Linked DNA regions of Caenorhabditis elegans. The protein of the gene in region 1 purifies or fractionates together with the protein of each later gene. This does not show direct contact. Each region holds a gene or a part of one and is shown on either strand. Other genes may lie near its edges. The genes, in order: dpyd-1, nit-1, ech-7 and gpa-10.

What was found.
Region 2: the proteins of dpyd-1 (region 1) and nit-1 fractionate together in Caenorhabditis elegans (co-fractionation; one large-scale study listed by BioGRID). This does not show direct contact.
Region 3: the proteins of dpyd-1 (region 1) and ech-7 fractionate together in Caenorhabditis elegans (co-fractionation; one large-scale study listed by BioGRID). This does not show direct contact.
Region 4: the proteins of dpyd-1 (region 1) and gpa-10 fractionate together in Caenorhabditis elegans (co-fractionation; one large-scale study listed by BioGRID). This does not show direct contact.

Annotation. Positions count from the first base shown.
Region 1 is NC_003284.9:5,465,407-5,473,533, forward strand, and holds dpyd-1 (Dihydropyrimidine dehydrogenase [NADP(+)]), read left to right. Parts: upstream 1-2,463; 5' UTR 2,464-2,465; coding exon 2,466-2,540; intron 2,541-2,757; coding exon 2,758-2,871; intron 2,872-2,917; coding exon 2,918-3,006; intron 3,007-3,647; coding exon 3,648-3,897; intron 3,898-3,946; coding exon 3,947-4,415; intron 4,416-4,464; coding exon 4,465-4,637; intron 4,638-4,684; coding exon 4,685-4,812; intron 4,813-4,875; coding exon 4,876-4,958; intron 4,959-5,105; coding exon 5,106-5,257; intron 5,258-5,305; coding exon 5,306-5,923; intron 5,924-5,986; coding exon 5,987-6,718; intron 6,719-6,764; coding exon 6,765-6,898; intron 6,899-6,951; coding exon 6,952-7,114; 3' UTR 7,115-7,277; downstream 7,278-8,127. Other genes in the region: ddr-1 (Discoidin domain-containing receptor A), read left to right, coding at 80-275, 331-480, 535-657. UniProt on the Caenorhabditis elegans protein: Involved in pyrimidine base degradation. Catalyzes the reduction of uracil and thymine. Involved in the degradation of the chemotherapeutic drug 5-fluorouracil.
Region 2 is NC_003281.10:3,919,973-3,924,662, reverse strand, and holds nit-1 (CN hydrolase domain-containing protein), read right to left. Parts: upstream 2,457-4,690; 5' UTR 2,437-2,456; intron 2,403-2,436; 5' UTR 2,320-2,402; intron 2,219-2,319; 5' UTR 2,212-2,218; coding exon 2,000-2,211; intron 1,852-1,999; coding exon 1,532-1,851; intron 1,483-1,531; coding exon 1,401-1,482; intron 1,180-1,400; coding exon 876-1,179; 3' UTR 790-875; downstream 1-789. Other genes in the region: ZK1058.9 (uncharacterized protein), read left to right, coding at 227-352, 401-505, 553-664; metl-6 (tRNA N(3)-methylcytidine methyltransferase), read left to right, coding at 2,957-3,037, 3,088-3,240, 3,288-3,434, 3,483-3,638, 3,690-3,962; ZK1058.3 (putative galactose-1-phosphate uridylyltransferase), read right to left, coding at 4,025-4,333, 4,387-4,572.
Region 3 is NC_003279.8:14,366,188-14,371,327, forward strand, and holds ech-7 (putative enoyl-CoA hydratase, mitochondrial), read right to left. Parts: upstream 3,587-5,140; coding exon 3,345-3,586; intron 2,674-3,344; coding exon 2,295-2,673; intron 2,287-2,294; exon of another isoform or gene 2,210-2,286; intron 1,582-2,209; coding exon 1,432-1,581; 3' UTR 1,429-1,431; downstream 1-1,428. Other genes in the region: slc-30A5 (Proton-coupled zinc antiporter SLC30A5), read left to right, coding at 237-470, 1,126-1,218; bbs-1 (BBSome complex member BBS1), read right to left, coding at 5,136-5,140.
Region 4 is NC_003283.11:6,851,423-6,857,136, reverse strand, and holds gpa-10 (Guanine nucleotide-binding protein alpha-10 subunit), read left to right. Parts: upstream 1-2,325; 5' UTR 2,326-2,333; coding exon 2,334-2,395; intron 2,396-2,441; coding exon 2,442-2,549; intron 2,550-2,732; coding exon 2,733-2,871; intron 2,872-2,924; coding exon 2,925-3,085; intron 3,086-3,489; coding exon 3,490-3,658; intron 3,659-3,708; coding exon 3,709-3,798; intron 3,799-3,847; coding exon 3,848-4,001; intron 4,002-4,043; coding exon 4,044-4,125; intron 4,126-4,307; coding exon 4,308-4,413; 3' UTR 4,414-4,616; downstream 4,617-5,714.

The DNA.
Region 1 (8,127 bases):
TACTCGTATGTATCCTCATGCTCTTAAAATTACTAAAATTTTATTTTATATTGATAATACATCTATGTTAATTTTTCAGTACCGAATTTCTTGTCCGAATTTGCAAAGACATATATTCTGCAATGGCATACTTGGAAAGTATTCGGATAGTTCACGGACATTTCACCCCAAACAACATACTCATGGACGGTGAATTCCATGCAAAAGTGTGCTCGCCCCGAGGGCCATCACATCATGCTCAACTTCGTTATTCTGCTCCAGAATCAATTGTGAATGTAGGTGTCTTATTTATTCAAATATTATAATACTCTTTCAAAAATATTTTTCCAGAACGAATTCACTCATAAATCTGATGCTTGGGCCGTTGCTACAACGGTGTACGAGATGGCTTATCAGTGCCGACAGCGTCCATACGAAGAACTCACCAATGAGCAGATAGTTGATAACGCGTGTGCTCTGCTGGATCACCAACCAAATGCGGTGAGAAACTATCAAAATGAATAATTTGATAAATATTTGAAACTTTAATTTCAGGTTGTACCGTTGATGCCAACAGTTTTTAACTATGAAATCTTACAACTTTTGACGCGATGTTTCCGGGTGGACCAGTTGGAGCGGCCGACGTTTGAGCGTCTAGTCAAGCCTTTCCAAGACTGAAATAATTCATCTCAAAACAAAAACTTTACATATTCCACATATTCCTCCTTGACCCATTGATCTCTCCCAAACTCCATTTCTTCTACTTATTCAGGACTCACTTCATTGAGATTTCACTGACTTCTTTCCCAAAGTTTTAACCTACGAGTATATAAGAGAATCGAACTGAAAAAAAGATGAGATAGTTGAAGAGGTGACAAGGACATTGTCAAATAGTGTAGAATTTTTCGGCGCAAACTAACAAAAAAAAAGAAGATATGAGAAAATAAACGTGATCTTTTGGTTTGTGATCTTACTTTACCCGCCAATCAATCATCATTCTGCAATTGTTTTAAACCAATATTTCTAAACTGCTAGTTGTAAAAACTGACCTCTGCCTTCCCTCTTCACTATCTCAATGAGCCCGACCCAAGACAAGAGCAAGTGAGCCAATCGACCTGGACCACAGGTCTAATAACCGTTGCGCATCCCCCTCCGTCTCATTCCCTACAATTTGCTTTATTAACCCGTCTCTCTGTCATTGTTGACTGTCGATGTCTCTGCATTTTTTTCTCAGTTCTAGAGATCAAAAAGTATTTGTTTTCCGCTCCTCTTCCCAGAATTTTAAACCAGAATCAAAGTTTCAAAGTTTTAGTGGTGTACTCTGTTTATATGGTTTTTACGCGTATTGAATTTTTATTTTTACTTTCTTCAACAAATAAAATGTTTTACATTTTCTTAATGCTTTCCTTGGAGTAATGTTTATACCCTAATTATGTTCAAATGAACGAATTTAATTTTGAAACTTCTCAAAAATAGTTTTAGCAAATTTTATGGGGATTCAAAATTTCAAAAAATGAGTTCATTTTAGCAATAATCTTCAATTTTGTTTTTTTTATTACGTGTCGCAGCTGTCAAAAATTGATTATTTCCTCTTGAATTATCATCTCTTATTGCATATTTTGATTGTTTAGATCACGTTATTTGGTTAAGGCACTTTTTAGGCCTAAGGGTAACCAATATTGGTTAATTTTGGTTACCTAATGACTTTAAATGTATTTTAATCAACGTAATAACATGACCCAAACTACCAAAACATGCGATAAACACTGATAATTCAAAAAGTCAGATTTGGACCTCTAACGTGGCCAACGATTTCAGTAAGAATGAGCTCTCTTTTTCAAACTTTTGAATCACCAATAACATTTTAACTTTTTTTTTGAAAGGTCTCATTACGAAAATTGTTCATTTAGGCACATTTTGAGTATATAATCCCAATTCATCACGCGACATCAATCCTGACCAATTCACTTGATATGAATAATAATAATATCAAATCTCTCTCAAAAAGAGAATAAACCTGCTTTGAAAAATAAAAAAAGATAGGTAGACTTATTTGTGTTGACCGCTCAAATCGAGTGACAAAAACCTGATAAATGAACACGTGGCGCGAGATGATTTGCAGTATATAGAAAAAATCGGCTGTAATCTTATCAGTTCTGTTCGTTGATACAATCTCGGCATTCATTACCTTTCTTTTTCTCCTACTTTATCATTTTTCCTTTGATACAGTCAACCCCCGTTTTCGTTGGTCAGTCGACGCGCTGTCAGCGTATCGAAAGTCGAGAAAACCTTTTGTACCATCGCTTTGAAGTAGGATGTTTTGAATCAAAAAAAAAATCTAAAAATTGAAACTTTTTGATGGTGTCTATTCTCAGTTAAATTTATTTAATAATTTATATTATTTGACACTCATGTCGTACGACTTTTATGCGTTTTGTTTGTCAATTTTCATATTTTGTAAATTTTTCAACATCATATTTACAGCCATGACTCCAAAGCCAAATACTACTAGTCCAACCAATAATCTTCCTCTTCTCAGCAAGGACTCCCCGGATATCGAGGTATAGTTCTTTTAAAAAGTTCAAAATCATATTCAGTACTAAAACAAAGTTTCTGTTTCTAAGTCTGCCTTTTTGCTAAACTGATAAGACTTTTTGATAAGCAGCGCACGTGCAAGTGGCACGTGCAGTCCGATAGCAAGTTTTGGGAGAAACCTTTGATCTTCTGTTAATGGGCATACTAAACTTAAAAAGTTGTACAAGATAATTCCGATTTCAGAGTCTCCTCATCTTGAACCCAAAAGTACAAGACAAGGCAAATGCAGTTCCAAGTGCGGTGACAAAGAAAAACAAGCACAACTGGAAGAGAAACGAGGAGAAAGGATGTGGATCTGTAATTTTGGAACTCAGAAGATAAAACTTCATTTTCAATTTTTCAGACCTGCGGAGAATCTAAGCTCAAGAATGACTTCCGAGACATCAAGCACACTACGCTCAGTGAGCGCGGAGCTTTGAAGGAAGCGATGAGGTATAAAATAAAGGACAGTGTGACGTAGTGATCTATGAAAAATCAGATATAATGTGATACTGATTATTTTAGGGGTATTGTAGTTCGGAAACATTTTGAGAGAAGTGTGAAAGAAGTTTGAAAGGCAAGCAATACTAATTTTCGGAACCTCTACATTTCGTTTATAAAGTGCAATAAGAAAATTTTGCAATAAATTAAAGGGAGTGTAGTGTCAGTTAGGATTTTGTTCAAGTTTACTTTTAAATTGAAAGAATATCATACATATTTGAAAAATATATTTAAAAACAATTAATTAAAACATAACAAAATAATAAAGTTCGTGGAAAAAAAACTTTTTTGGTCGGCTTTTAATTTGAATTTATTGGTTTCAATAACTTAGTAACTGACAATTGTAAAAAAATGTAAAAATTGAATAGAACATCCTCACCGCTCTCTTTATTTTCATAAAATTAATTAGTTTTAAGTCTAAAGTTTCCTGCAAAAAGGACGTCAGACTCAAAATACTCACAGTACATTCTAACAGCCCTATTTTTGGAAAAAGGGAAAAGTAGATTCAGCAACCAACTTTGTGAAGTTAAAACTCATTTCTAATCATTTCTAAACTATCTTATCTAAACCCATGTACTTGGTATTTTTTTCAGATGTTTGAAATGCGCCGACGCTCCTTGCCAAAAAAGTTGCCCAACCCAATTGGATGTCAAAAGCTTCATAACTAGCATTTCAAACAAAAACTACTACGGAGCAGCTCGTCAAATTCTTTCTGACAACCCACTGGGTCTGACCTGTGGAATGATTTGCCCAACATCGGATCTTTGTGTTGGATCGTGTAACTTGCAAGCAAGTGAAGAAGGCGCTATCAACATTGGTGGTCTTCAGCAGTATGCTTGTGACGTGAGCCATATGAGTCTTAGTTGAAGTGTTATTCATTGTAATGTTCCAGGTGTTCAAGCAAATGAATGTTCGTCAAATCGTATCAAAGGAAGTTCGGGAGAACCGCAACGCTTCTCATAAGGAGCAAGTTGCTCTTATCGGATGCGGACCGGCCAGTATTTCATGTGCATCGTTTTTGGCTCGTTTAGGATATACAGATATTACTATCTATGAAAAGAGAGCTTACATCGGAGGGCTTTCATCTGCTGAAATTCCACAGTTCCGTCTTCCTTATGACGTTGTTGACTTTGAAATTCAGCTTGCCAGAGACATTGGAGTCCAGATTGAAACAAACAGACCTTTAGGAAAAGACGGTCTAACACTTGCCAAATTGAAGGAACAAGGAGCTGCCGCTGTTTTTATTGGTATCGGAAACCCAGAACCAAAAATTGATCCTCTCTTTGAAGGATTGACAATTGAGAATGGATTTTATACTAGCAAAAATTATCTTCCAGCTGTCGCGGCTGCTAGCAAACCTGGTAAGTTGGACATGATAACTTTCATTAAGGTTTTCGTTTATTTTTATAGGTATGTGCGGATGTAAGAGAACTCCACTTCCAACAATGAGAGGACGTGTCGTTGTGCTCGGAGCAGGAGATACTGCAATGGACTGTGCAACATCTGCTCTCCGTTGTGGTGCATCTCGTGTCACCATTGCTTTCCGCAAAGGTTTCACTGGAATCCGTGCTGTTCCTGAAGAGGTTATTCTTTTTTTCAAATGACAAAAATAGCTAAATGTTCATTTCAGATGGAAGCAGCCAAGGAAGAAAAATGTGAGTTCCTTCCATTCTCAGCGCCACGAAAAATCAACGTGAAGGACGGGCGCATTGTCTCGATCGAATTCAACAAGACCGAACAAGATGACAACGGCAAGTGGTGAGTAGTGTAAAATTAGCGCAAATAAGGAGAATTCGGGTGAAATTAGTCATTTCGTTGCAGGTACGAGGATGAGGAACAGATTGTTATCTTGAAATGCGACTATGTGATTTCCGCATTTGGATCCACGTTGAAAGAAGACGCAGGTGTGTTGAGCGGTTTTTTTTCTTAAGAACTAACCGAGAGCTGACTTTGAAGATTACTATCACCGAGAGTTTTTGGAAATAAATAGTGATCTCTGATTCGCCAGCAAAAACATGTTTTAGCTTAGATTGATCATTGAATTCTTACAGTTTTGTCGGCTTTGCAACCATGCCAGTTGAATAAGTGGGGAGGAATTGAAGTAGATTCAACAACACAACAAACTTCGGAAAAATGGGTATTTGCTGGAGGAGATGTGGCAGGAGTCGCAGAAACAACCGTCGAATCTGTCAATGATGGAAAGGTTTGAAAATCTTAATGGGCAGAATTCTTATTTTGGCAAATATTTAAGATTGCCGCCTGGAATATGCATCGCTACATTCAATCTCTTCACGGCAACCAGGTGTCCGAGACCCCAGAACTTCCACAATTCTTCACCCCAATCGACGAGGTTGATATCTCCGTTGACATGTGCGGCGTTAAATTCGAAAATCCATTCGGACTGGCTTCTGCTCCTCCAACCACTTCTGGACCAATGTGTCGCCGTGCTTTCGAACAAGGATGGGGATTCATTCTCACCAAAACATATGGATTGGACAAGGACTTGGTCACCAATGTCTCTCCACGTATTGTCCGAGGATCTACCAGTGGACCACTTTATGGACCAAACCAAGGATCATTCATGAATATTGAGCTTATCTCAGAGAAATCCTGTGAATACTGGCTTCAATGTATTAGGGAGTTGAAACGTGACCATCCAACTAAAATTGTCATCGCATCGATCATGTGCGTCTATAACAAGGCTGATTGGATTGAGCTTGCAACAAAGAGTGAGGAAGCTGGAGCAGATATTCTTGAGCTCAACCTCTCTTGTCCACATGGAATGGGAGAAAAGGGAATGGGATTGGCTTGTGGACAAAGCCCCGAAATTGTAAAGGAAATTTGTAGATGGGTTCGCGCTTGTGTCAAGGTATGTTTTCCACTGTAATGTGAAGATTTTAAATTGCGAATTTAATAAATTTCATGAGTTTAGATCCCATTCTTCCCAAAAATGACTCCAAATATCACTGACGTTCGTGAGATCGCCAGAGCTGCTAGAGACGGAGGCGCAAGTGGAGTGACTGCAACAAATACCGTTTCCTCACTTATGCACATGAAGGCTGATGGAAATGCTTGGCCAGCAATTGGATCAACAAAAAGAACCACATACGGAGGAATGTCCGGGTCGGCTATTCGTCCAATCGCTATGAAGGCTGTCTCATCAATCGCTAACGAACTAGATGGTTTCCCAATCATGGCGACCGGTGGAATTGAAAGCGCAGAGACTGGACTCGGATTCTTGATGGCAGGAGCTTCAGTCCTCCAAGTTTGCTCCGCAGTTCAGAATCAAGATTTCACAGTTGTCGACGATTACTGTACTGGACTCAAGGCACTTCTTTATCTTTCTGGCGCTGAGTCACTCAAAAACTGGGATGGACAATCGCCACCAATCGAAAAACATCAAAAAGGAAAACCTATCTTGCTTCAAGGACAAAAGAAAATGCCATTCTTCGGAAAGTACAGGGATGAACGTGAAAAGCTTGAGGCTATTAAACTGTCAGAAAGCAACCTTTTGGACACCGAAAACTATCACTTTGCTTCGAGACCAGACACTCAAGTTTCGCGTGTCCCAACTGTTGAAGATGTCATTGGAAAAGCCCTGCCACGTATTGGCCCATATGTCACACTCGACAACCAAGAGCAGAAGGTTGCAATTATTGATGATGTAAGTATCTCAATATTGTTATGAACCGAAAACATTTTAATTTCAGGATATGTGCATCAATTGTGGAAAGTGTTATATGACATGCAATGATTCTGGATACCAAGCTATCACTTTTGATCCAGTCACCCATCAGCCACATGTTACGGAAGACGATTGTACTGGATGTACTCTTTGCTACAGGTACAAATATTACAACCCACTCCCACAAAAAAATTTTAAAAATTGTATTTTAGTGTGTGCCCGATTCCGGAATGTATAGAAATGGTGCCAAGAACTGGGCCATGGAAGGCTCCAAAACGTGGTGTGAAGCCATCGGTCGAGCCAGGAACTCCAAAAGTCGTCAAAGTTGACCAACGTGGAAGAGTTATCCTAGATACTACTGGTGGAATGCAGTAACTTTTATTTGTTTGGTAGTTTTTCTGAATTTTCGTTTCACTTATCACTTACTTTCTTCCGATTCGTTTTTTTTGTTACATCTTCTAGTGTATGCATTGTGTTTTTCTGTCTAAATTTTATTCATGCTAAATCTTCCCTCAAAATAAATTACTCAACAATTAAAAGGACATGTACAGAAAAGGAATCCCCTGAACAGAATGGATGAGATGCTTCTTGGCGCTTTCTAACTCGCTGTTGACAGTTAGGCTATTGTCTTTCACGTCATTCGTTTGCTCAAAGCTCCACACTAACTGTTTGTGTGACAGAGAGATTGGAAGAAAACGGCAAGATGGTTCAAATCTTTGTCCGAACAATTCGTGCTACTGAACTATGGTGCAAAGATGTTTCAGTTTCCGAATATATCTGATATTAGATATATTATGTAAAATTCACTATGCCATTAATATGTAGTACTCAATGACATCATCTTTGAAGGTGACGTTCATTAGAATAATATGCCATGTTCCGAAAACGCACCGGTAAACAATACCTTCTGCGGGCAATAAATACTCGGATCAAACTGACGTTACTACGAAAATTCGTCATTTGTGAGAAAACATTTATGATTAAAAAATTGATTTTCTTAAATAGTCATTTCAAAAAATCTGTAAAGAATAAGTACTACATATGTAGACAATTACAAATTCCCATATTTCTCATGTGAAATTATTTTCAGGAAGTATAACTATTTCTATATGTTTTTTTTAATGAAAATTGAAAAAAAACTCACAGTCAAAAAGGAGAAAATGTGGATTTTGTAAATGTGCCAAACCCAAAATATCGATGTCAAAAAAATCTCAAGAAAATTTAAAATTTATATTCAGCATTTCACATTTTCTTCAGCTTCATAGATGTTTTGCTGTATTCTTTAGTTTATTGCACAGAACTTTTATGAAGAGCATAAAAATAGTTTTTAAAAATCAGAAAATCAATAGTTTTCTTCGTAATTCAAGCTTTGTGAAAACATTTGAAGC
Region 2 (4,690 bases), on another chromosome or scaffold:
TTCTGTTCCTGTTGTTCCGAAATGTTTTTGACAAACTTTACATCTCTAGAAGATTTTCTGTTCAAAAAAATGTTCTGCATCTTCTCTTTTCTAGTGTAACATCTAGAGTTCAAGGCGTCAAAATGTCAATCGAAGAAATAAAAAAAGAAGCTAGGATATTCTTTTTTATTGGGCAAGAACCACAGAGCACATTAAAATGCAAAAATTGTTTGATTTTTCATTTCAGATATGTGTACGGACGAGAGGGAGACTACAGACGGCCATATTCATTTGATAGGAATTATGGATTAACACCCAGCTACACGCCTCCGCAGTTGACCGCTGAAAGTCGACCGATAACAACCAGACGAGGGTAAGAATTCCATTTATACCTGTATCTAAAATTTTCAAATTGTTTCAGATACTCCGGCTATTCCTATCTTGCCAATGAAACACATTATGACATCACCAGCCGCCCGAAAAGTTTGAGCTCCTACATGTACAGTAACAAGTATCTCGGAACCACGTGAGTATTTTTTGCACGTAGATAATGATGCATAGAGTCCGTTACAGAGCTGCCCCATGGTACTGGTCATGTTATGGAAACAGTGGTCTTCGTCACTTCAACAGCTATCGCCCACACAACTATACAAGCTCAACCGCTAGCTGGTCTCGTTATTATTAATGAATTTTCCTCCAACTTTTGTCCTCTTCTTCTTCATCGAATCGATCGATTTTTCCTTCCCCTGCCACGTCATCGCTTAATCATTTTCTGCTTTCCCCCTTTTATTGCGATCGACACAAAAAAAATTCACACAAAAATTGTTTTATTTGTAAATTCATTGGACCTTGAAGTCACACCTCCAAGACTAGAACAATAAATTTTGAAATTAAATTCACTTCTTAACTACTGTACTCTGTGAATTCTCATTGACCTTCAACTGGAATACATCCGGCCTACTGTAGTGTCCGACGACGTCTAAATCCATTTTTCCAAGAGCTAAATCAGAAAGATCGAATTCCGTGTAGCGAATCGTTTCTTTTGTGAAATCTGGCTCCACGAGCACAGTTCCAAGTGGATCAACTGCGCATGATCCACCGCGAATCAAGACTTTATCTTCACCGTGTTCTTTTCGAAGTGGGTGATCCAAGGGATAGTCGGAGGATTTGAGGAATTGACATGCAGATACTACGAAGCATCTGGAAGAAAATATTTGGGAGAATTCGAAGTTTGAACGGTCAGGGGCCGAAAACGGTCTGGGGTTCCAAAATTGGAGGTGAAGACCCATCAAGTTTGAGATAAAGTATTCTAAAATTTGGGCCAAGGGACTCGAAATTTAGAGTCAAAGATCTCAAAATTTTGGATCGAGAGGTTTCAAAATATGTGGCTAGGCAATTTGAAGTCAAGGGTCTTTACTAACCTTCCTTCTAATGCAATAGTCCTCATGGTAGAGAGCCAGACATCTCTATCGTCGACAGTTGGAGCTAGATAGATTTGGATTTCTGAAATTAATTATTTCTTGAATTTAGGTGTTAAATTAAATTTACTAACCTTTACTGTAAAGCGTCATTCGATATAATGGCATATAATTCTCCCAGCAAATGGCACTTCCAATTTTTCCAACACTTGTACTAAACACAGGCATTGTTGAACCATCACCTTGTCCCCAAACACATCTTTCTAGAGCAGTTGGCAAGAGTTTTCGGTGCTTTCCAAGGTAACCGGAGGGTGAGTAAAAGAATACAGAGCAGTATAAGGTTGAAGCTTCTCGTTCAACTACTCCGATTACAATATGGATATTATTCTGAGCTGCTAGAGATTCGATGAGCTTCGATTCCTCGCCGTTCTCTTCGATGGCGTTTTCGAAGTATCTATAACAGAAAAGTTATGCCTCGGCCGATTGTGAAGACATCAAAAAAATGTAGAAAAAGAAATGGCACATATTTTGTCAGTTGACAATTTTGTGATAAAACAAAAGACACTCGAGTTGTATGTGATTTCAAAGTTTGGTCATCCCACCTTTTAAACTCTTTCCTTCCTTCTGGAGTTCGTGTGCCCATTGTGATTCCAAAGCTGTTCCATTTTGGATATCCACCAATAAAAGCTTCAGGAAAGAGCACTAGTTCAGCTCCATTTCCAGCTGCTTCTTCCACATTTTTCTTAACTTTTTCCAGAGTTGCTGGTTTATCAAATAGTGGGGTCCCCGCTTGAACAATTGCAATTTTTGGCATTTTGAATCTGAAAAAAGGAGCATAGGGTTTGAAAAGAAGGATATTTTTCAGCTAAATTTGCTTCGTGGCCGAGCTTTCCATTTTCGCGGCCACAAATAAAAAGCCCACCTGGCCACCTATGCAGCTGAAAATACTGTCTGCACAGATGTTTTAAAAAAGTATGAAACCAAGAAAAAAAGCTATGGGATGTTACAAATACTAAAAAATGTATTCTTTTTATATAGCGACCAACAAGTCATCAAAGGCAAAAATGAACTCGGCATGGTCTGGCTGACGAAATGAAAATGATGACAATTAGTGATATGATAAGAATGTTTTCTTTGAGGGTTCATCGATGAGATTGTAAATTGTCACGTAGGCAAGTTCAAAATATCATTCATTAAAAGATGATGATGATCTATTGTTCTATTCTTTTGTAGTCACTTATAGTTTGCCTGTAGCAAATTGGGTTGTTTCGAGGGGACATTGAAGCGACAAGATCAATATTTTATGAACATTGCTCAAGAATGTTTGCTTAAATATTTATTTTGAACGAAAATGTCTATTTAGTCGCTTTTAATTGTTGAATTCAGATTTAAATTGGAAACTGTGATTTAAACTTCCGCGCAAAACATAGCGGGAGATCGGAGCGTCGTTGAAATTTTGTACTTTAATTTTTTTTTGTTTTTTTTTCATAATTTCCTCTTTTTTTTCTTTTTTCCTTGCTTTTTCCACACTAGTGTAAGCTTAAAATTTTCCAGAAAACATGTCAGATGATGGGGGCTTTCTTTCAAGTCAAAGTTCAAGGGAATTAACAGAAGATGACCATGAAAAGCTGGCAAAACAGGTATTTAACTAAAACTGTATTTTTAAAAACGCTTAAAAATGAATTTTCAGACGAGTATAAGCGATTTCAAGCGAAATAAACTGGAAATTGACGCTCGAAAAAATTGGGACAAATTCTATCATCGAAATAAAAACAATTTCTTCAAGGATCGGAATTGGAGTGCAGAAGATCTGAAAATGATGTGCCCAGACATAGATTTCGAGGTTTTAATTCTGAAATTGCACTGAAAAATTTTTAATTTTCATTTAAGAAAGAAATCTCCTATCTGGAAGCTGGATGTGGCGTCGGCAATATGCTTTTCCCATTAGTCGCTGAAATTCCAAATCTGAAACTTTTTGCATTCGATTTTTCGGACAACGCGGTGAAATTGTTGGAGGAACGCGCAAAAGAGCTTGAAGTATGTGCAAAAAACTCTGATATGAAACGTTTAAAATTAAATTTTCAGCTTTCCGTAGCAACATCTGTCGTGGATTTGTCAATTCCTTCAGTTTCATCTCCATTCGAAGAGCAAGTTGATCTTGCTACACTTATTTTTGTGCTATCCGCGATTCATCCCGAAAAACATCAAATTTCAGCGGAAAATGTAAGAAAAATGATAAAAGTGAGTGCTTTTTTAATTTCCAGCAACATAAAATTGGAATTTTTGTTCCAGATTGGAGGCTCTGTTGTAGTCCGGGATTACGGTATCAATGATCACGCTATGATTCGTTTCGGCCGGGAAGCAAGAATTTCCGATCGATTTTATGTTCGACAAGACGGCACCAGAGCTTATTATTTTGATTTGAATGAGCTTTCGGAGGTTTTTGAAAAATCTGGATTTCGATGTGTTCGGAAGGAGTATCTACATAGAATGACGGTTAATCATCAAAAAGGCCTGAAAGCTCCGCGGATTTTTGTGCAAGCCAGGTTTATTAGAGAGAGTTAATTGTTTTTTTTCAAATGTTTATTCGATTGTTTTGTTCTTGTTAACTAAAGTTGTTAATAAATTTATTGCAATTTCTTTGAATAATGCTCTTCATCGATCTCGCTCAGCGTTTTTGCAGCAATCTCCGGCGAAAGATCCCGTTGTTTTTCAGCAAAAACTTCATATCCAGCAAGGAATTTCGGAACAGTCGCCGAACGAAGAAGTGGCGGGAAGAATGACAAGTGGAGCTGCCAAAATGAGCAATTTTCAGTCAGAAAAGAGCCAGTTGGGGCTCCAGACCATCCCATCATGTAGGGAAATGAGCATTCAAAGACATTGTCGTACTTGATGAGTAGAGAACGAAGAATTTCAGAGAGTGATTGCTTTTCAACCTGGAATAGCGGAATTTTTGCCATTTTTAAATTATAATTTCAAATTTACGAACCTCTCCCAAATCAGTGAATCGTTCCACGTGTCGATTTGGTAGAAGCATTGTCTCATACGGCCAGAATGCCCAGTACGGTACGAGCCAAGTCCAGTGCTCATTTCTCATGATTATTCGTTCCTTTTTTAGAGTTTCCTGCTCCAGATAGTCCATCAGCATAACCTTCCCGTGCTTTTCGAAATGTTTCTGAAATATATTAATTTATTCTACCGGTTTTTGAAATGCCCCGCAAAAAATTATGTACGTTTTTTTTAGAAGTACAGTAACCCATTCCGAAATTTTCTTAGATTTTACTATTTACGAT
Region 3 (5,140 bases), on another chromosome or scaffold:
TAGGGGTACTGTAGTTCTAGAAATATTGTTTTTTTTAGTTTCTGCGAGTTCCTAAAAAACATCGTGGAAATTTCTGCAACTTTTTGAAAAAATTCAAGAATTTTCTGAATTTCCTTCAGAACTGTCCGAAAATTTCTGAAACGTTCTAGAAAGCTGTTGGAAATTTTAAGAAACTTTCTGAGCTTCTGAACAAAAAATTTAAATATCTGAAAAAAAACCCCTTAATTTTTGCACAGATCGAGCACGTAGAATCGTATTCAAATGCACACATGTGGCAGCACAAATCGGATATCAACGTGGCAAGTGTACACGTTCAAGTGAAAGAAGAAGCGAATGCACAAATGATTCGACACCGTGTCTCGAATATCCTGAAGAGCACTGGAGCCACCCACTCAACTGTACAAGTTGAGAAAAAGACATTTGCACACAGGATACAACAAGTGTGTCCTGGATATAAAGCTGGTTATACGGTACGGGATGCTTTGTTGCTTAGAGGACAAAATATCTTTAAAAATGACAATTTTTCAAAAAAAAAGTTGTTTTTTTTCAGGAAATGTTTTATTTGATTAAATTTAATAATATTTCTAAAAACTACAAATTTCTGATTTTTTTGTTGAATTTTTTCATTCGAAAAAAAATAATTTGGAGCATTTTTTGCCATTTTTATATTTTCGATAGTAATAATATATAAAGTATTAAAAATATCTGAAATTGTAGATTTTTCCAATTTCAGAAATTTTTAATTACTTTATTACTATCGAAAATATAAAAACGGCAAAAAATGCTCCAAATGAATTTTTTTTCCAATTTTCAACAAAAATCTGAAATTTGCAGTTTTTAGAAATATTATTAAATTTCGTCAAATAAAACATTTTCTGAATAAAAAAATCGTAATTTTTAAAAATTAATTTTAATTTTTTTCGGAATTTTCAGTTAATTTTCGACTATAAAAATGAGAGAAAGTTGAAATTTCAGAAATAAAAAAAAATCGTTATTTAAAAAATAATGCTAAAATTCTGAAAAAAATTGTTAAAAAATTGTTCCTGAAATTTATGAAATTTTCTCAAATGTTGAGCATTTTTAATTGAAAAAAAGGGTAAACATTCAAATTTTCTCCAATTTCAGGTAGTCCGCGGAAGTGTGATAAGAGAGAAGAAGCATGATCATTCACATCACCACGGGCATTCACACGACGATCACAGCGGACATCATCATTAATTTATTCCAGTAGTATTTTTTTTCTTCTGAAATTCACTTATTTATAGTCATTTTTCCCCTTTTTTTCTAGTGTCTTTGCTTTACATTTCGGGATAATTTATTGTGTTTTTGTGTGTTTTTTCCCTTTTTTTCTCCCCCAAAAACCACCCCAAAGTTCCTTCAAAGAGTTAATGAAATTAATTTATTTTTAGAAAAAAAAAACGTTTTTTTTTTTCAACTTGAAGTCCATTTGGGAGCCCGTTTCTCTGCGAAAGCTGACATTCCTTCCCGGCGGTCATTGGTGGCGAAGGTCGACTGGAACAACTGCTTTTCCATTTCAAGGCCCTGATTTAGGCTGGTTTGGTAGGCCGAGTTTAGGGATCTCTGCAAGAAATTGGGAATATAATGTCTGCCTATGTGCCTACCTCATGCCTACATGTCTACCACATACCTAGGCCCCTAGCTCATACCTGCTTACCTGCCTATTCACTGACTATTCACAGCCTTTTTGCTGCCTACGATCCTGCCTGCCTTATGCCTACCAGTCTACTTCATGCCTAGGCGCCTACCTCATACCTACCTACCTATTTTATGCCTGACTGCCTAGCTACTTGTTTTCCTCATGCCTACATATTTTACGACTACCTGCCTGCCTCTTGCCTACCTTATGACTAGGTGCCTACATGCATTCCTTCTTGCCTACGTGCCTAGCTGCCTACATGGCTGTCTCCTACTTCATGCCTACACACCTATGTTATGCCTCTGCCTACCTACCTGCCTTACTCCTAGGTGCTCATTTCTACCTACCTACATAGCTACCTTATTTATGTCTCCCTATCTGCCTGCCTACCGCATACCTACCTAAAATATGCCTGCCCGCGTGCCTATTTCATGCCTACCTATTCTTTTATTTTCTTCTAGCTTGCCTGCCTACCTAATGCCTACCAAGTTTACACCTACCTACATACCTAATTTGTGCCTACCTTATGATTATGTGCTTACATCGGCCCTACATCGTGCCTACATCTTGCCTGCCTACGTGCCTATTCCATGCCTAATAGGCAGGTAAGCAGGCGTAGGCATTCCCGAAAACGTACCTTGACAGTTTTCACAATAAGAGGAGAATTCTTAGCGATCCTATCAGCCAACAGAACAGCCTCCCCAACCAACTGCTGCACCGGGAACACCTTGCTCACCAGGCCGTCTTCCTTCGCCTCCTGAGCGCCTAGTCGGTCGCCTGATAGGCATATTTCCATGGCAACTGACTTGCTCACATACCGGGGCCATCGTTGGGTACCACCTAATCCGGGGATGGTTCCGATGGTGATTTCCGGTTGGCCGAATATTGCATTCTCTCCAGCATATACTATATCACACATTAAGGCAAGTTCCGTGCCTCCGCCTAAGGCAAATCCGTTGACAGCGGCGATCACAGGTTTTGTGATGTGTGATAAGGTGTCCCAGTTCGTGAAATAGCTGAAAATTAGGTATGTTTTGTGCCTGCCTGTCTGCCTAGATGCCTAGCTTGTGCCTACCTGCCTACATGCTTACTATACGTCTGCCTACCTAGGTTGATGCGGGCCTCATGCTCGCTGTCCACACGTCCATATACCTGCCTAATGTCTGCCTGCCTTTGTGCCTTCTCCATGCCTAGATGCCTAGTTTGTGCCTGCCTCCTTCAAACCTACCTGCCTACGTGCCTATCAACTTACATCTGTCTGCCTTCCTACGTACCTACATACTTACCTACCTGCAAGCATGCCTACCTACCTCACGCTTATCTAATGCATGCCTACCTACACGATTTTTGCTCAGCCATCTCTACCGGCCCTGTCTTCAGTGTGCCTGCCTAAATGTGCCTACCTGCCTGCTTGTTACCCTATATACCTGGCTACCTACCTACCTACCTGCATGCACGCCTACCTACGAGTCTACGTGCCTACCTTGGTCCCTACCGCATAATCATATCTGCTTACATGCTTACATGCATCTGCCTAGATATTTGTATTATGCCTACCGGCCTACCTGACTATCTTCCGGTCTTTGTACTTGACTGCGTGCCTACCTACATGCCTGCCTGCCTACCCTCAAGACAAATAGACACCATGTAGGCACGTAGGCAGGCAGGCGCCTACACCAAAACTCACTCATTCTCAAAAACATCTGCAAACTCCAACTTGGCCATCTCCTTGATATCGGCTCCGGCAGCGAATGCCTTCTCACTTCCAGTGAGCACAATCACATGGTACGACTGATCCTTCTCCACTTTCAGCAGATTTTCAGACAATTCCAGCATAAGCTCACGGCAGAGAGCATTCAGAGCACTCGGGCGGTTCAGAGTGATCAGTGCAACGTTTTCGGCGGCTCCGGTACGTGAGAGGGTAATCATCTGGAATAAAAAGTGGAATTGGAAATTGACAACACTTTTGGCTTTGTGAAATTGGACAAAAAACGGGGGATATAGTCAGGGTACTGTAGTAGTACTGTAGGATTACTGTAGTTTTGGAAAAATTGGCTTTCTGTCTTTCGAAGGGATGATGGTTTGGAGTGAGTGGGGGGGGGGGGGGGATATGAGCAGGGTACTGTAGTAGTACTGTAGGGGTACAGTAGGAGTACTGTAGGATTACTGTAGTTATGGAAAAAAAAAAATTACTGTTCGTCTTTTGAAGGGATATTGACTTGAAGTTAGTAGGGGGATATGATCAGGGCACTGTAGTAGTACTGTAGTGGTACTGTAGGGGTATACGGTAGGGTTGCTGTAGTTTAGCAAAATATGAGTTTTTAGCTTTTGCAGAGGTATTGGGTTTGGAGTTGGTGGGGGATATGATCAGGGTACTGTAGTAGTACTGTAGGGGTATTGTAGGTATAAGATAGGGTTACTGTAGTTATAGAAAAATTGGCTTTGTGTATTTTTTAGGATTATTGATTTGAAGTTAGTAAAGGGATATGGTCAGGGTACTGTAGTAGTACTGTAGGGGTATACGGTAGGGTTACTGTAGTTTGGGAAATTTGATATTTTGCCCTTTTGGGAATTATTGACATGATGTTAGTAGGGGAATATGGTCAGGGTACTGTAGTACTGTAGGGGTACTGTAGGAGTACTGTAGGATTACTGTAGTTTTGGAAAAATTGGTTTTCTATCTTTTGAAGGGATATTGGTCCGATGGTCGTAGTCGAGGTACTGTAGTAGTAATGTATGGGTACTGTAGGTATACGGCAGGGTTACTGTAGTTGTAGAAAAATTGACTTTCTATCTTTTTAAGGAATATTGACTTAAAGTTAGTAAGGGGATATGGTCAGGGTTCTGTAGTAGTACTGTAAGGATACTGTAGGAGTACTGTAGGATTACTGTAGTTTGGCAAAATATGAGTTTTTAGCTTTTGAAGAGGTATTGGGTTGGGAGTTGGTGGGGGGATATGATCAAGGTACTGTAGTGGTACTGTAGGGTACTGTAGGTATAAGATAGGGTTACTGTAGTTGTAGAAAAATCGACTTTTCGTCTTTTGAAGGGTTATTGCTTAGGGGTTAGTGGGAGATATGGTAGTACTATAAGGGTTTTTTCTGAAACTTCAATTTTCTCCGAAAATTTTCACAGAAATCTGGATTTCCGAAAGTTTCACAATAAGCCTAATTGATTTTTTTTCTGAATGAATAACTATTTGGTATAACTCAATGATTTGTTAATTTTCAAAGTTTCTTTTGTCTGTTGTAAGAATTGTTGAACGTTAAAAAAACATCTACTTCAAAAAATAGTTAAAACGGTGCCAGTCGTTGTCCGCGCCGGAGTCTGGTTTATTCAATATTTTTATATGTATAGCGGAAAAATAGAAAAATTGATAAGAGTTCAGTGATAAGGAGCACACCACCACCAACACATCATGGCATGATTCTGGGCTCAGCGAGCACACAAATCGGAGCCAATAAGGGGAAAACTGGAACTAAT
Region 4 (5,714 bases), on another chromosome or scaffold:
ACTCTTTGTATATCAAACAATAGAAGTTCAGAACAAAAAAAAAGTTTCGGAAGTGATTCTAATCCTGAAGCTGAAATTTTATTGTTCATTTTTCTTAAATTTGAAGAAATTAAAACTTCCGGGAAATTAACTAATTTTTAAAAATCTGTACGTTTCTACAACTTCTTTCACCTCAAAATTCAAATGCAAAAACTTGTCAGTTTATCTAATTTCCTAAACACTTCGAGAGTGGGCATTTCATAGGTACGGTCGGTTTCTGGAATTTACCCTGGTCAGCGAAAAAAAAATCTGCTCGTGAGCAAGAATTCTCAAAATTGGAGATTCTGGTTCCAGCTGGTCGAAAACATAAATAAAATACGTTGTCTGACTTTTTTTTTGCTATAAATATCTCTAAATGTTCTAAAGTCACCATATTATCCCAGACAAAAATTCCATGATCTGTTTATTAATTTTCACAAAAAAATTTAGGTGATAATTCTGACATTTGTGATCTGAAATCGTTTAAAAATTATTTTGAGGTTCGTAAATGTAACTTCAAAAATCATTCTTATCAATGTTTAATTCCGGTCTTTCCAATATTTCATACAAAATGAACGAACTCCGAATTTGGCTTGATTTTATTTTAATCTTGGCATCTTGTGGTGCATGATTCGGCAAGAATAATTCAATATCAGAAAGTTCGAACATAATTTTTTTGCAATAATCTTTCCGCTTTTATTCGTTTTCAGACTCACAAAGACATTTAACTCATTTACTTTTTATTATTTTAGCTAGTGAAGTTTGAGATTTGGTCCCAGTGTTATTATTGATATCAAGACCAGATAAACTTGTTTCCGGTTTAACTCACAACAAAGCTAACGATTTCCGTTTGCGTGTCGTTTAAAAAACTTTACTCAATTGGCGTAGTTCTCTCTTTTTCAAAACGCTTTTCTAATCTATCTATTTTTCTGACCAGCTATCATAAAACCATAGCAACATAAATGTTTCCCTATAGAGCATCGGGTATTCTGTTTTTTTTTGATTGATAATATAAATATATCTCCCTCTAACCCAAATACACAACCAACAATCACATTATCTTTTTTCCTTCTTTTTGATCATTCCCACGCTCAAGTAGTCTCGCGATTTTTGAGTGTATTTCATTCAACATGCAAGTCAGAAGTTGTTCTCGTGTTTTTGTTTTGTTATTCACCTTTTAGTTTCTTTGTTACAGAGAGGCTTAATTGGGAATCTGCGGTAGTCAAGGAAACCGGGGGGAGAGGACCGCCGCTAATCATCACTACCTTCCTTCTCATTTCATTTAATCATAACTTTGCTTTTTTCCCTTTTCTTCTCTCGTGTTCTCCACAACTTTTTTTTTACATTTTTGTGTTGTCACGACTTTTAAGCCTATGTGATTTTAAATTTGTGTTGAGCTCATGCGCTTTTCGGAAAAATTTTGCGAACATAACGATTACAACTGGTTTCAAACAAAAATGTAATTTATCGCCATTTCATTTAAATATTTCTTGACTTTGACGGGTAGTGAAAAAGTGTTCAGATGTTTTTCGGTGAACCAAAATCTGTGGTTTTAGAGAAAGTTTCCAAATGTCATTTTGAACGTTCTTGAAAAACTGGTTCATCTTTAACATTGAGACAAAAAACAATTTGTGTTAAAGAAAAAAACATCCCAATCTAAAGTACAAATCTACAAATCTAAAGTAACTATGTTCTTCACGTGCTACCATGTTGCTTTTTCATGGAAAATTATGGCGTCACACAAGGTCTTGAAATTTAGGATTTACCTATCTCTCTTTAAGTCTAACAAGTTCTTTCGAAATTATATTGTCGTTTCTAGTGTTGATGACTTTTGAAAATTAGTCAACGAGTTTGGTTTCATCCCGAGTTACGTATCTATTTATTTTTTTTTTTTGGTACATATTCAGTTTGTCGCGCGGCTTTGAAATACGGGTTTCAAATAATTTTTTTTGAAGGAATGTTCTCTTGCATTGATGGATTTGAAAATTCTCATGAAAATAGTAACTTTTTTTGACGAAACTTGTACATTCTCTCTGAGCAATACAGTGGAAATTGACTTTATTTCCGGTGTGAAATCTACATTTTCGTTGCCGAAAAGTCTGTTCAGTTTGTCTCGACAAGCTTTCTGAAACTTTTTTTTTGGCATGACAACATGTTTTGTTTTTTTTTTTCTGATTAGTCATTTCATTTGTCTCGTTGTCTAAGTTGAATCTCGCTGGCATCCTATAATTAAAGTTTGCGTTCTCTATCATAATCGTCATAATCTTTGAATTATTTTTGTTCTTTCAAAAATTTCAATATATGTTCAGGGAAACATGGGGGTCTGTCAGTCATTTGTACTCACTGACGAGATGAAGGATCAGATCAAAGTTAACAAGTCAGTTTTTGAGTTACATGTTTCATAATTGTCGTTAATATTTCAGAGAAATAGAAAAACAGCTCGAAAAGAAGAAAAACATGCAATTGGAGCAAACCGTTCTTCTACTGGGGCCTGGTGAAAGTGGAAAAAGTACTGTCATGAAACAGATGAGGTATATTTGATTTTTTAATAATTCTTGTACATGACCTAATATTTTGAATTAACAACGGGAAAATAAATAGGTTTCTGATTATACCTTGGGAGTTGTGTCTGTTTCTTTCTGTTTACAGTTTGAAAATTAATTAATAACTATTATATTTCCTGTTATATGGGTAGCCAAACATTCTATTTTCAGAGCCATGACTGGAAACTACACAAAGACAGAACTACACGAACGAAAAGTGCTAATTATACAGAATTTATGTCAATTTTCTGAGATGTTGTTAGAATACGTCAGAGAATATATTTTGGAGATGACGGAAGACGATGATAAAGTGAGTTTTGCGACCTCTCGGGTTTTATTAGGTTTCAAATTAAAAACTTTTAGCGATATACTGTGATGTGCGAAGAACTGAAAATGGCGGTAATTCATGATGGAATAATGAGACCTGAACTCGCCGATACACTGAAGGAATTCTGGGGAAACAGTGCAATACAGGACGCGTATTCCAAGAGAGACACATTTCATTTGACAGATAGTGCCAAGTAGTGAGTTTTTTTTTTGGAAACTTGTAGCGCATTCATAGTTAGAATTATAGAAAAATGTTTCAATTGATTCAAAAACACGTTTCAAAAATGTCTGAAATGTTTCTTAAAATATTCTTTTATGTCACACAGTTATTATTTAAATGTTTCGAGTTATGTATATGTTTGTTCGTTCACAAATAAAACCAAACTACAGACATTGTTCGTGTATCTGTCATTTGGTCTAACGGAACATGTAATTAACAGGTCTAGAAAAAAAAAATTGTGATAGTGATCGCTGAAGTCTATGATGTTAACTTGTTTATGTTCTTGTTCTAGCAGGCAAATTTTGCAATAAAAAATCAATTGAATAACTACATTAAATTATCTCAAAATTGTGTTATTTGAACTTAATAATTCATTTTCAGTTTCTTCGACAACATCGACCGTATAAAATTGCCAGGCTTTGAACCGACAAATCAGGATATTGTTCACATACGGGTACCTACAACGGGAGTTGCACAAGTCGAAGTTATTATGAACAATATCAAATTGATGATTTGCGATTGTGGTGGACAACGATCTGAAAGACGAAAAGTTGGAAATTTAACTATTTCTTTGTTTCCTAATTGAGAATTTAATTTCAGTGGTATCACTTTTTCGATGAGGCTGACGCTGTTCTTTTTGTAGCGGCTATTAGCGAGTTTGATCAGAAGTTAGCGGAGGATGAAGAGACGGTAATTTTTCCAAACAGCCACAAAATTGAAACGAAAAATTAAATTTTAGAACCGTATGCATGAATCCATCAGATTGTTCTGGACAGTTTTTAATGGAAAGTTTTTCAAAAAAGCGGCAGTCATACTTTTCCTGAACAAAATTGATTTGTTCGAGGAGAAAGTAAAACATGTGAAGATTAAGGATTACTTTCCAAAATTTGAAGGTTTGTTTTCCAAGTTTTTGAATTCATAGTTTCATGTTTCAGGAGCAAACACAGTTTCAGAAGGTACAAAGTTCTTTCGGAGACAATTTAGAGAAGGGATTCACCCGGACTTCAAAAAAAGAATGTGAGTTTTTGAGACTACAGTTTTGTGTCTACTGCACTTTTGAAAATCTAACTATGAACTTACAAACTAAAAGAATTCTGAACGTATTCGACTTCTTGGATATTTTTGACTTTTTTGTGCCAGTATGGAACACTAACAGTACTAGAAAATAAAATGTAAATTTCAAAAACGTAATTTTACAGGTACACCCATGAAACATGTGCAATATCGGATCAAGTTCAAATAATCATCAATACAGTGATAGATACAGTTATTCAAGATAATCTCAAAGATACGGGAATGATATGAACTCCAATCGCTCTGCACAAATTATTGTTCTTCAATTTAGTATCTGCCTCAAACAACGTGTGTGATTAGTAATAATTATTCCCTATTCTATTTGAGTGGTGTCATTTTTTATTGATTGAAATTTATCGTGACTGAAACTCTGATGAAAATTTGTACTAATTTTCAGTGTAAAGTGAGAACCAAATAAGATTAAAGGAACATACATATTTATTCGAATCTCTTTTAGAAGAAAAATGTTCAATCGTTTTTACCTGACTTTTCACATCTTCTCAAACAAAAACATGCGACAAGATAAATGGACAGAATTCCAAAAATATACGGAAAGATAATAACAAGGTATACATCTAAAAGATTTCTTTGAATGAATCCAAGTGTCCTCCCATATGGATCCATTTCCGGGAACGGACCAAATTTTGCAACAAATTCAGTGTATTTGACTACGGTCTCCTTGGGATTTGTTGGTTGGTTTCTCAACATTTCTGCCAGTTTTTTAGAGTTCTTCTTAAAATGATCGTCGTTCAAAATTGAATAAATGGAATTTTTCACAAGTTCCCTTTTCCAAAGATCGTTTCGACTACAAGAACTCCTCCATGTCTTGCCAACATCAAAGAATTTCTGTTTTGATCGGCAAATACTGGTACCATTAATGCTGGTTTACCAAGATACGCAAGTTCAGTTGTGCTACCAAGACCTCCATGTGTCATGAATGCTGTTAAACGGTCATCATTTAGTAATGCGGTTTGAGGAATCCATTTTGAAAAATGAATATTTTCAATTTCTTCTGCTCATTGCAAATCATTTGTTTCATATTTCCAAATAAGCGTTACATTTGGTAAAGATTTAATTGCATTGAAAATTTCGTCTCTGAAATACATATCTGATTAATATTTTGATTACAACAGTGTGAAAATTATTAAAATAATTATAACTTGAATATGGAGTGGAGTTTTTGGAGTTTTTGCCTGAAAAACTGGCTTGAAAAAAAATGAATTCATGGCTCGAAAACTTCAAAAAAAAAAAAAAAAAAACTTCATAAGAAATAAATTATCAAAATATGAAAAATAAGAAAAAAATATGAAAAATAAGAAATAAATTATCAAAATAAATAGAAGCTTTTAGTCAAATGTATCTCTTTTTCAAAATATGAACCTTTAAAATGTCAATAGTTTGATGCATTTTCAGTTGATAAGTAGGCAAATCTTTCAGCTTTTGTGAGTCTATCGACTGAACAGGAATGGTTCATCTAATAGAAGTCACCAGGTTTACATAAGTCAAAAAAAAAGAAGACGATGTCTACTAAT